Linked DNA regions of Mus musculus. The protein of the gene in region 3 interacts with the protein of the main gene of each other region in a biochemical or structural test. Links are inferred from orthologs where the notes say so. Each region holds a gene or a part of one and is shown on either strand. Other genes may lie near its edges.

Region 1 (3,903 bases), on a different chromosome or scaffold from region 3:
GAATTTCAACCTGATCCATGTCCTAATGTTCACGTGAAGGAAGCTTAACTGGGAGGGAGATGTAGGATGACTCAGTGGGCTTTATTTCCAAACCATGTATATGTTAGATCGTAGTTATCTTCAATGCCTTTTTGAAAGCAGTGAGGGTTTAATGATGTGAGGGGCCTATCTGACTGCAGCTGGCATTTCTCTCGTGTGATACTCAAAGAGTTCAACTTAGAAGAAAATCTCTTTGCTTTCTTTCAGGTACTTACGGTGTGGTGTATAAGGGTAGACACAGAGTCACTGGCCAGATAGTGGCCATGAAGAAGATCAGACTTGAAAGCGAGGAAGAAGGAGTGCCCAGTACTGCAATTCGGGAAATCTCTCTATTAAAAGAACTTCGACATCCAAATATAGTCAGGTGTGCTGTGTTAGAACTGAAGCCACTCTCCCTGTGCTGCTGCACATCTGTTTTAAAGTAGAAATTTTTATGTACTTTCTGGTTCAAGTGGGATGGAGTCCTGCTTTGCTGATGGTGTTTGGAGAATTTGAGACAGGGTGCTAGAATTGGCTAGAGGAGCAAGGCACAGCCCTGGGACCCCTTCCATGGGGAGCTTGCTTAGCTCCTACTTTTAGGGCCCAGGTCCCCAGAGGCTCCTGAGACCAGGGGCCAGGCTGAGGTAGATAAGCTATGCTTTATTGACTTGCTTGGGCTGGGTCATTGAGGACGTTGTCTGGTGGTTCATTAGAATTTCTGTTGGTAGGAGGGACTGAACCCAGGCCTTTGGGTAGAGCTAAGAAAGTGCTCTACCACTGAGCTGTAGCCTCTGGCCTCCTAATATGGGGTTTTGAAATTATTAAGACAGGATATTACTCTAGCTCACCCAGGTTGGCCTGGAATTTACTGCTGTCCTCTAGCTCCCAAGTGCCGGGATTATGGGTTTAAACCACCGCACCCAGTCTCCAGCACTCACAGAATTACCCAGGGTGACCTTGTGCTCACTCCATCCTTTGCATCTAGAGATCCTTGCCTTACTTAGCACCTCTGGTAGCTGGCGTGACCTGCCTCTGCCCCTGGGTTCTAACTGTTGTTGCACTGGGGCTGGCACTAGGGAGCAGCTTTAATCTTCTCGAGCAGCCAGCTTTAGGAGTGCAGGCGGTGTGAGCTAGCTCCTCCTGCAGAGGAGGCTGTGGACTACTGTCCTGAACTTCCGTCCTCAAGTTCTACTTGAGAGTGAAGGTCACTGTTAGCAGTTATGCTGTTGGAAGTGGAGGCAGGCTGCTGGCTGGACTCACGCTTGCTCTGCTCAGCCTGCAGGATGTGCTCATGCAGGACTCCAGGCTGTATCTCATCTTTGAGTTCCTGTCCATGGACCTCAAGAAGTACCTGGACTCCATCCCTCCTGGGCAGTTCATGGATTCTTCACTCGTTAAGGTAAAGAGTTGCGTGCTTTTACTAATACGCTCTCTGAACGTGGGCTCCATCCTTGCGTTTTGTGGCTGCATCTTAGAAAACCTGTAAGGGAAGAGACAGCATTTTATTTTCCTTCCTTCCACCGGATGAGATCATCATCTGCCTGTCTCATTTCCAGAAGGTTCTAGAAGTGAGAAGTAGCGTCTGAGCACCTAAGTGCTACCCTGTGGCTTATGTATCACATTGCTGGGGGCAGGCCAGGCTACAGTGGTTATGTGCAGATCAGCGACAGCAGCCTGAGCCCGGTGCTGATGCTAAGTGGTCTTACTCTGACAAGTAGGCTTTGGTTAATGTAAACATTGTATTTCAGTTAAATTATAATTGTATTTATTGTTCTTTGTGTGTGGTACCGGGTATTGGATCCAGGGCATTGTGTATAATTGGGCAAGTGTTATTCTCAGCAAATGGGTATAGGTTGTAAATGTCTATGGTAAAGGGGTCTTCACCTTAAACCGGCTTTATTTTTCCACTGAACTCTGTGCATGCCTTGAGATGTTCACGTTGACTTTGTATGCATCTAAACCCAGTGGGATCCTTCTGTATGTGCACTGCACACGTTAGTTAGCCTCTCATGTCTCTGTTTCGTAGTGGTTTAATACTTTGTACAGCTAGTAAACCATTTCCACTTAGATTACTTCCTACTTTAGTGATGGCTGCAGTGAGTCGTCATGAGTGGTGGTGGAGGTTCATTCTGCAGCCCAGGCTGGCCTTGAACTCTCATCCTCAAGCCGCCATCTCCCAAGTGTGGGCATTATAAGCATGTGCCACCACACCCACCACTTTATGTCATTTTAGAGGTGGCTTCTTGGAACTGTGATAAAATCTGTGTTTATATTTAAGATCATGGTTGATAGGTCCTCTAAAAATCAATTACTATTTTATTACATTGTTACCAAGACTTGACTGTATGTAACTTTTAAATAGTCTCAGTGTATTATGGGAAGGGTTTTATTACAGTTATTCTATTTGACATTTAACATACTATTGTGTTTACTCATTTTTGCATAACCTGTACATATTCACTCATCTTTCTGTATTTCAGTGGTTTCAAAAGTCATTATTACTAACACACGGTGACTTGCTAGTGGTGCCCACCACTGCCAGTGCTCACACTGTATGGCTATTGCTGAGATGAAGGCTATGGCCTCAGCAAGCAACTTGAGGAGGAAAGTGGCCGTTTGGCTTACACTTGCATGTAACTGCTCATCACCCCAGGAAGTCAGGACAGGAGCTCCTGGCCAGGAACTTGGGGGCAGGAGCTGATTCAGAGGCTGTGGAGAGCCCAGGGCCACCAGTCCAGGGATGGCACCACCCATGATGAGCTGGGCCCTCTCCCAGCGATTACTAATTAAGAAAATGCCTTACAAGCTTGCTTACAACCTGTACTTAAGGAGGCATTTTCTCAGTTGAAGCTTCCTCTCCAATAACTCTAGCTTCTGTCAAGTTGACATAAAACTCTCCAGCAGAGTATTCTTAATGATTTTTTTGTTGTTTTGTTAAAGCCATAATGTATAAGATCAAATGTTTTAGAATAATGTCAATATTTTTCTGCTCTCTCCTATCTCCTAACTTTTCTTAAGTTATGGATAGGGAAAGATTCCTTTGGCTTTAGGATTGGAAGGCTTGGGGACATTTCAGAGGGAAAGTGCTTATGGCACAAGCACGAGGAGCTGAGCTCTGGTTCCCAGGCTCCACATGGAGGTGGTGAGGTGGTGGTGTGGCTCCACATGGAGGTGGTGAGGTGGTGTGGACATCTATAAGCCCAGAGGCTGAAGGACAGAGGCAGGGGCTGCGGGTGGGATGGCTCTGTTGTGTCCCAGGGCCATCCATTTTGATCAAAATGGTGAACTTCAGGTTTAATGAGAAATATCTGCCTGTCACTCGGGTACCTACATTGAAGAGTGCACATGTGTGGGCATGCACACACTAGAGAAGTAGGTTACGAACAAACTTTTACACATTCCCAGTTTAAGCTGTTTTACATATTTTCCTGTTGTCTCAAAAGAGGAAATGCACGTGTAAAGTGACAGAAATGGAAAAGCACAGCTTTATTCAGGATAGAAACAGTTGACACGAGTGCTGAGGAAACTTCTGCACAGAAAGCTAACATGTGACTTAAAGACAGGGACCAAAAATTTAAATGCTCATGTGGGCATAGATACATCTTCGATACTCACCTGTTTAAAGAGGCCTGAAGGGTCTTGTGGTAGCTACATTGTTTTCTCTGCATCATGATTTATTTTCTCAGAACTCCTTTCTCCTTGGAGTCTTGTGGAGTGACGGAGTGTCTGTCTGGCTGTTGCTTTTCTAGAGTTACTTACACCAAATCCTCCAGGGAATTGTGTTTTGCCACTCCCGGCGAGTTCTTCACAGAGACTTGAAACCTCAAAATCTATTGATTGATGACAAAGGAACAATCAAACTGGCTGATTTCGGCCTTGCCAGAG
Region 2 (3,903 bases), on a different chromosome or scaffold from region 3:
CCAGCCCAGGACATGCAAGGCTGGTTCTCAAGGCCAGGCTAAGGAGCTGGGAGCAAGGCTAAGAGAGAGTCTCCAAAGGACTTTCCCCTGATAAAAGGTATGACGACCTTTGTCCTTCTGTTGGTACAGAATTGACAGGAAAGTCATGTGGGCAGAAAGGAGGGAGCTAGGCAGTCAGGGCGACACCAAGGCTTCTGTTTCTGTGGTCTGGCCTTGAGGTAGTGCCATCGTTCTAAAGGAAGCAGACAGAAGTACAACATAGTTGGGAAAAGCACACAAGAAAAGACGAGGTTTGTTTAGGGTTTGTAGGAAGATGACAACAGGAGCCATGGTAGTGCATGCTGCAAATGGGATGAGATTATAAGGGAGAGTTCCAGAAAAAAAGACGACGAGCCACCTGGCAAGACTTGGAGAATCCTCATGGACTTCTGGAACAATTAATAAACACAGACTTCTGTACTGGGCACGGTGAGATTTCTCTAGTGCCTTACCTTGAATCAAATCTTTAGCCTCTTGGGATACATTCTTCCACGCTTCTCCTTCAAAGGAGAAGTCTCCCTTTTTAATTTTCTTCATGATTTCCACTGCACTGGTGCATGTTAAACTTCTGTCATGAGACTGGAATGGCACCTGCCCTGACAGCATTGTATACTGCCATGGTAAAAGAAAGTTAAAAAAATCAGAATAATTGCAAAAACCACTGTCACGCCATGACAGTAAGCTAATACTGACTCCATGAGCATAACTTACCTGCTACTACAGTAAGCACCAATGGATTTCAGAGACTAATGTCTGTCGCCAAAGTAACATTTCAAAGACTTGCAAAAGGAAGGAAGGAGCACAGCTTTTATGACATCACAATTGAAAATTATATTTATACCTAGAGGAGCCCCAATCAATGAGATCTCACAATTTTTGTTTAACAGCTAGCCATCAAATTCTATAAAGAATAACTTTCTACCTTTAATTGCAAACAGTATAGCAAAAAAAATCAAAGATATAACTACACACATATATGATTTTATATATACATATATATATATATACATACATATATATATATCTGTTTGAACATGTTTTATGTGTGCATATACATATTGACAGAACATGCACATAGGGGAATTATAAAATGCAAATGCAGAAAAATAGTAGACATTCAGAGTTGTATTCTCTTACATTCTCATTTAAAAAAACGAAAACTTTGAGAACAAAGAGAACCATGAGGTGAAGAATAGAACACTTGGAGAAACTGCTGTAATGGGATCATGTGCTAATTCACAGGCATGCTCTGGGTCCTGACCACTGTTTTATAAATATTGTGTTGTGAATGGAAGGTTTGATCTCCCCTAAATTTAGATATGATTATCCAACATAACTGTATTTAGAGAAAAGGCTCTTCTGGAGGTACTGAAGATGAAAGGAGGTTATGAGCGAAGGTCCTGATCCAATTAGTACCCTTGAGAGAATGGACGCCAGAGTCCTGTCTATTCAACCCCGTGCCACAGACGCTGCATAAGCAGAGAGCCAGCAGTCCTCAGAGGGAGGTCTGCACCAGACACCTTACGGCCTTAACCCTCGCAACCCTCTGGCCTTGCACTCTCCCACCTCTAAAACAATGAGAGACTATGTCTCTGATGTTTCACTCGCTTTGCAGTATTATGAGCAGCCCAAGCAGACTGTTAAGCTGGCCAAGCTCTACTTTAATTAGAGTTCTAAGCATTTCAAACAAGAACTGAACATTCTTGATGTACACTAAATTATAATCAAACCACATAGTATATATTTCCTTGGAGTAATGTATTTGATTCAATAAAGATAATTAATTAAAAAACATTCCAATTTATTAAATGCAAGATGAAAGAGGGGCATCTAATTCTAAAGTAAAATAAAGAGCTCCAAATAAATGTTGTGCTTGGTGTGCTTACTGAAGGGAAGTTAGGATCTAGACAGCTGAGACACATTCATTTTATGGGGAAATTAGCAAAACTCTTTTTTGATCATTTGAAATGATCAAAATCAGCTGCTGATTTTGCTCATTTTCTTCTGCAACTGTTTTCTTATGTATCTACAAAAGACGAGGCTTTAACAAACTACAACTGACGTCACTCCTAAAAAAAAAAAAAAAGCAGTAATTTTTTGTAGTATTTGATATCTAATGAATGATCATATTTTGTAATACGAACACTGCATTATGTAAGCTGGGTATATATTATAATTATAGCTATATCAATTAATTATATTTAGAATGTGAATTTAACAAACAATTTAAATTAGGTTTTGTGGAATTAGGATTCAAATAATACACAAATTCTGTACCTTAAGGGTTTCTAGTGCATGGTTTGCACTTTGTATTGTTTGTAGAGACAGGATTTCATACTGTTCCCTAGGCTGGCCTGGAACTTGGAAAGTCCTGTTGCTACCTAGCTGCCTGAGTGATGGGATTATAGGAATGAACCACCAAGCCTGGCCTCATGACATCTTTTTGCTTATAAATCATCTACTGAAAAAACTGGTAGTCTGTACAATACAGTGTGCACTGTAAAAAGAAAGCAGTGCCTGCCGTCTGTGACTGTGACTATGCTCTATGACACCATTAACCTGATTTTTATCCTGTTTTTCTTAAACATATAACCATTAAATCTATTAGGCAGGGCGGCTTCTACCTTGCCTTCCCAGAGGGTTGTTTTCATATACATACATACATACATACATACATACATGAAATTAATATATGTATATGTAAGAAATAATTAGGATATACTTAAGAGCTTGACTACATTTATTTGGATGTCTGAGACTCTTTGAAAACCTTAAAGGAGCTTGATGGTCACAATGGGCCTAAATTTAAAGAACCATCTCTTTTATAATGAAAAAGAAAATACAAAAAATGAAGGGCTCTTTTGTATTTATATGTTTTTAGGACAATGCTAATAAAAATATCATCAACTTAAGTCCTCAAAACTCTGTAGCCTACAGAAGTTGCTTATTTATTTTATTTAAACTTCTTATTCCTAAATTTGTAAGTTCAGTCTGAAAGTGATAAATGATGACTTAAAGTGCCCAGATGAAAGCCATATAAGGCTTAAAGAGCCAGCCTGCAGGGGCAAGTGGCTAGCCACTGGGAAACCCAGATGGAATACAGATGGCCCTGTGAAGGTAAGATGCTGGTTCTGAGGAGTATTTCAGGAACCCTGAATTGAGGGCAGGGCAGTGACAACTTGACATCAAAGCCATGTGCCATGAAGACAAGACTGACATATTTTACCACATGGAAATTCAAAAGCAAAAACACTTCTCCTTAAACTTTTCTAAAAATAAAATCAAGATCCTATTTACTACAAACAAACAAAAAAAAAGGTAAGCCACAGAAACATTTCCAATTATTGATAAAGACAAAGGTTAACTATCTTTATTAGAGCTTTCTCTGTAAGAAAAGCTGCCTAGAGGAAAATAGGCAAACTCATAAGTGGCAATCCATAAACAAAGAAACCAATGTCCACATGTATGGAAGAAGCTCAGACTGCGTATTAAAAGGAACGCCTACCAACATTAAGAACAGTGGTGTGTACCTGAAGGTTAAGATGGGTAACATCCAACATGCTCACATTGAGTTGATGATGTGCACCAACCCTAACAGAAGAAAGTTCAGGCCTCTATGTTAAAATGAAAACAAGGACACCTTCCTGGGAATCTAAGGAACTAAAGGCAAATGCAACTGTGTATAGAGAAAGATTCATCCTTATAGCTTATAATTAGTGAAAAAAGGGGGAGCAAATACTAACAGCTCATTACCAAAAGAATGGTTCAACAAATGTTGGAGACTCCAACTACAGGTATAATATAACATGTAGATTTAATGGTTAAATGTTTAAGAAAAACAGCGTAAAAATCAGGTTAATGGTA
Region 3 (3,903 bases):
TCCTCTAGGGTACTTAGGCTTGGTTCCCCGCACCCATATTAGGTGGCTCACAAGTGTCTGTCACTCTAGTTTCAAAGGATTTGATCCAAAGGTTTCCCAGAACTGCTGCACACAGGTGATGCATATAAACTCATGCAGCACACACACGCATGAATAAAAATAGCAAATCTTAAAAAAAAAAAAAAAAACAACAAAAAAAACCCCCTCCCTTATAAATAATACTAAAAGTTTCAGTGTTGGAAAAGCTAAAAATTTTCCTTTAGGAATCTACTTTAAATACAGCTGGAATACAAATTACAGGCTGGCAAGCCAACATCATTCTAAAATTAAAAATAGTAATTTGTGCATGAATCATGTAAGAGACATGGCGAAAGGGAAGATAGGATAAAAGAAAAAAAAAGTGACATTTCCAATAAATGCCTCTTAACAATTCTTTAATAATGTCTGACAGTAGGGCAAACAATATTGGCAGCAAAAGCCTTGGCATTTATCACTTTCTTAAAGAGACTCTAACAGTTTTCCTTCTCACTTTTCATAATAGAAAAATGTATTACTCACTGTACTGCCCACTGCTAGTTTGGTAAATGGGGGTTGGCACTGTTACAGTGGTGATGGCAGGGGCTGAAGTCTCCTCTTCTGACTTTTCTTCTTCAATCCTTGGCACCCCTGGTGCATCAGAAGATAAGTCATTCAAAATTTTCCTAGAAAAATAAAGAGCTATTTTAATTTTAAAAAAATTCACTAAGTACAAATAGAGATTAGAAAACTACTAACGTATAGGACAAAAATTCAAACACATGAATAAACTCCAAACAAAGCAGGAACTTCAAATGCAAGAATTGCGTGGTGGTGGTGGTGGTGGTGGGGCAGTATAAAAAATAAAACTACATATGTTTATTTTATTTTTTGTGATGTGTTTGGGTGTTTTATCTGCACATGCCTGGTGCCTGCAGAGGCCAGAAGAGGCCACTGTGTATCTTAGACTAGAGTTCCAGATGGTTGTGAGATACTATGTGACCTGGGGATTGAATCTGGGTCCTTTAGACCATCTCCCCTTACTCACTCCAGCCTTCACAAGCCATGTGTCTATGTGTATACATATATGCACATACATACGTATGAATGTATGTATGTTTGGTTTTTTCCAAGACAGGGTTTCTCTGTGTGGCCCTGGTTATTCTGAAACTCACCTTGTCACCCTGTATAGAACAGGCTAGCCCAAATTCAAGAGATCTGCCTCTCTGCTTCCTAAGTGCTGAGATAAAAGGCATGCACCACCACCACCTGGCTTTTTTTTTGTTTTTTTTTCTCTGTGTAGCCCTGGCTGTCCTGGAACTCAGAAATCCGCCTGCCTCTGCCTCCAGAGTGCTGGGATTAAAGTCGTGTGCCACCACTGTCCAGACAGTGTCTTATTATGAATCTCAGGTTGGGAAGATCACAATCCTCCTGCCTTAGCCTCACCAGTACTGGGATTACAGTTACATACCTTGTATGCCTGGCGCTATTATAACATGAAGAAATATTCCTTATTTAGGATTATCGTTGGAAGTTTAAACATCATCAATTTAGTCTCACAATCTAATCTAGCTCCCCTTTGCATGAGAATCCAAACCCACAGCTAAGACATTATTCACACTTTAGTTCTTTTTGCTCTAGATTATATTGGCTGATAAAAATAAATAACTTTACTTCTTCATCAATAAATCCAGAATCAGATATTTGAACAACTTGTTTATTTTGTAAGCTGTCTCAGAGACTTTACAGTTGTCATTACAGTTTCACCTTATTTTTCCAGCCCATTTCCTTTGCCTGCTGTGACCTTTCAAGGCACTCATGCTCCTAGCACCAGGGCACTTTATTAAGCCTGATGGTTCTATCATTTGCAAATCTGATATGCATGGCTTCTATTTTTTCAGAACAATTACTGGTGAAAATATCAAGCCACAAGAGACAAAATGGAGCACCTTTCTGCTGTATACAAATTAACTGCTTTAACCTATTTTGTATAATCAATCAATTTCATTTTTCTAACCTTGCAAGCATACTATAAGCATCTGTTAAATAGCTTGTTATAATCTAGATAGATATAAAGGCTACATTTCAGGAATTCATAACCTTCATATAAATAGTATCTCAGTGTGAAGGTTTAACTCTAAGGTAAGGTAACAGTACCCTTTATAACCCTTTCTCTCCATGCTTTCTTTAGAGAGCTTTCCTTTCATTAGTAAAGCATGGTTGATTTAAATAACTTTTGCTAGGATTTTGGCCAGAGAAATATTAAGACAAACATAAAGCTGGCCTTTGTGTGGGTTTTGTCTGTTTGTTTGTTTAAGTGTGAATGTAGTAGGAGGTCCCTGTGTGGAGGTCATAGAACAATTTGGTGGACTTGGTTCTTGCCTTCCAGCCTTATGTGGCTGAGACTCAGGTCACCAAGCTTGCATCAGCATGTTTATCTGCTGGAGCCATCTGGCAGCTATGATTTGCTTAGGATTTAGGAGAAGTCATGTGACTTGCTTCTTAATACTTTGTTGGATTTGCTTCAGGATCAAAGGTATTACATACTAACATAAGATATACTTCAATGTCTCAAGATCTAACACATGCTATATTGAAAACAAAAGAGAAGCAGCTCACACTGTTTCTAACTCTAGTACTAGAGGGCCTGACATCACTTCTAGCCTCTGCAGGTACGTCATGCACATGGTGTACAGAAATACAAATACTCACACACACAAAATAAAACAAATAGTAAAGACTATACATATAAATGCCTATAATATATATCTTACAACATAAAATTTCTTAGGACCTCAAAATTAATTAACTAATAATATTTGGAATTTATAATTGGATGAGGATTGAAAAAGAGCTTAGTAGTAACTCTAAGTAAGTACATGGAGGGAGATAAGGCAATCAACTACTTTTTAAAAAAAGGAGTAAGGCTAGATAGACGGCTCAGAGGTTAAGAGCACTGGCTGCTCTATTATAAGGCCTGTTTTGATTCCCAGCATCCAGAGTGATTCACAACCATGGGTAACTCAGTTCTAGGGGATCCAACATCTTCTGACCTTTGTTGGCACTATGCACACAACTGGTGTACAGACATATGCAGACAAAACATCCATTAACATAAAACAAAATAAATCTAAAAACAAATAATGAATAGAAATGTACATAAATAGGCATAATTTAAACTAACACAGAAGGTTACTGTAAAATTCTGAAGTTAACGGAATTCTTTTCTTTTTTATTTTTTATTATTACGTATTTTCCTCAATTACATTTAGAATGCTACCCCAAAAGTCCCTCATACCCTCCCCCCCATTTCCCTACCCACCCATTCCCTTTTTTGGCCCTGGCATTCCCCTGTACTGGGGCATATAAACTTTGCAAGTCCAATGGGCCTCTCTTTCCAGTGATGGCCGACTAGGCCATCTTCTGATACATATGCAGCTAGAGTCAAGAGCTCCGGGGTACTGGTTAGTTCATAATGTTGTTGCACCTACAGGGTTGCAGATCTCTTTAGCTCCTTGGGTACTTTCTCTAGCTCCTCCATTGGGGGCCCTGTGATCCATCCAATAGCTGACTGTGAGCATCTACTTATGTGTTTGCTAGGCCCTGCATAGTCTCACAAGAGACAGCTATATCAGGGTCCTTTCAGCAAAATCTTGCTAGTGTATGCAATGGTGTCATCGTTTGGAGGCTAATTATGGGATGGATGCCCAGATATGGCAGTCTCTAGATTGTCCATCCTTTTGTCTCAGCTCCAAACTTTGTCTCTGTTAACTCTGTTAAGGGAATTCTTAAGTAAGCATGAGATTAATAGATAATGTTGTTTCTTGATATACTTAACATGGAACCAATTGATATATTGTAGTAATTGGTTTTGACCTTCTTTTGAGG

The links.
Region 1: of the proteins of Creb1 (region 3) and Cdk1, one has a biochemical effect on the other in vitro, tested with the Homo sapiens proteins (2 studies listed by BioGRID). The link is inferred for Mus musculus from reciprocal best matches to the Homo sapiens genes CREB1 and CDK1.
Region 2: of the proteins of Creb1 (region 3) and Rps6ka5, one has a biochemical effect on the other in vitro, tested with the Homo sapiens proteins (3 studies listed by BioGRID, with this or other methods). The link is inferred for Mus musculus from reciprocal best matches to the Homo sapiens genes CREB1 and RPS6KA5.

Annotation. Positions count from the first base shown.
Region 1 is NC_000076.6:69,342,575-69,346,477, reverse strand, and holds part of Cdk1 (cyclin-dependent kinase 1), read left to right. Parts: intron 1-246; coding exon 247-403; intron 404-1,293; coding exon 1,294-1,417; intron 1,418-3,767; coding exon 3,768-3,903. UniProt on the Homo sapiens protein: Plays a key role in the control of the eukaryotic cell cycle by modulating the centrosome cycle as well as mitotic onset; promotes G2-M transition via association with multiple interphase cyclins.
Region 2 is NC_000078.6:100,553,783-100,557,685, forward strand, and holds part of Rps6ka5 (ribosomal protein S6 kinase alpha-5), read right to left. Parts: intron 652-3,903; coding exon 492-651; intron 1-491. UniProt on the Homo sapiens protein: Serine/threonine-protein kinase that is required for the mitogen or stress-induced phosphorylation of the transcription factors CREB1 and ATF1 and for the regulation of the transcription factors RELA, STAT3 and ETV1/ER81, and that contributes to gene activation by histone phosphorylation and functions in the regulation of inflammatory genes.
Region 3 is NC_000067.6:64,566,932-64,570,834, reverse strand, and holds part of Creb1 (cyclic AMP-responsive element-binding protein 1), read right to left. Parts: intron 702-3,903; coding exon 559-701; intron 1-558.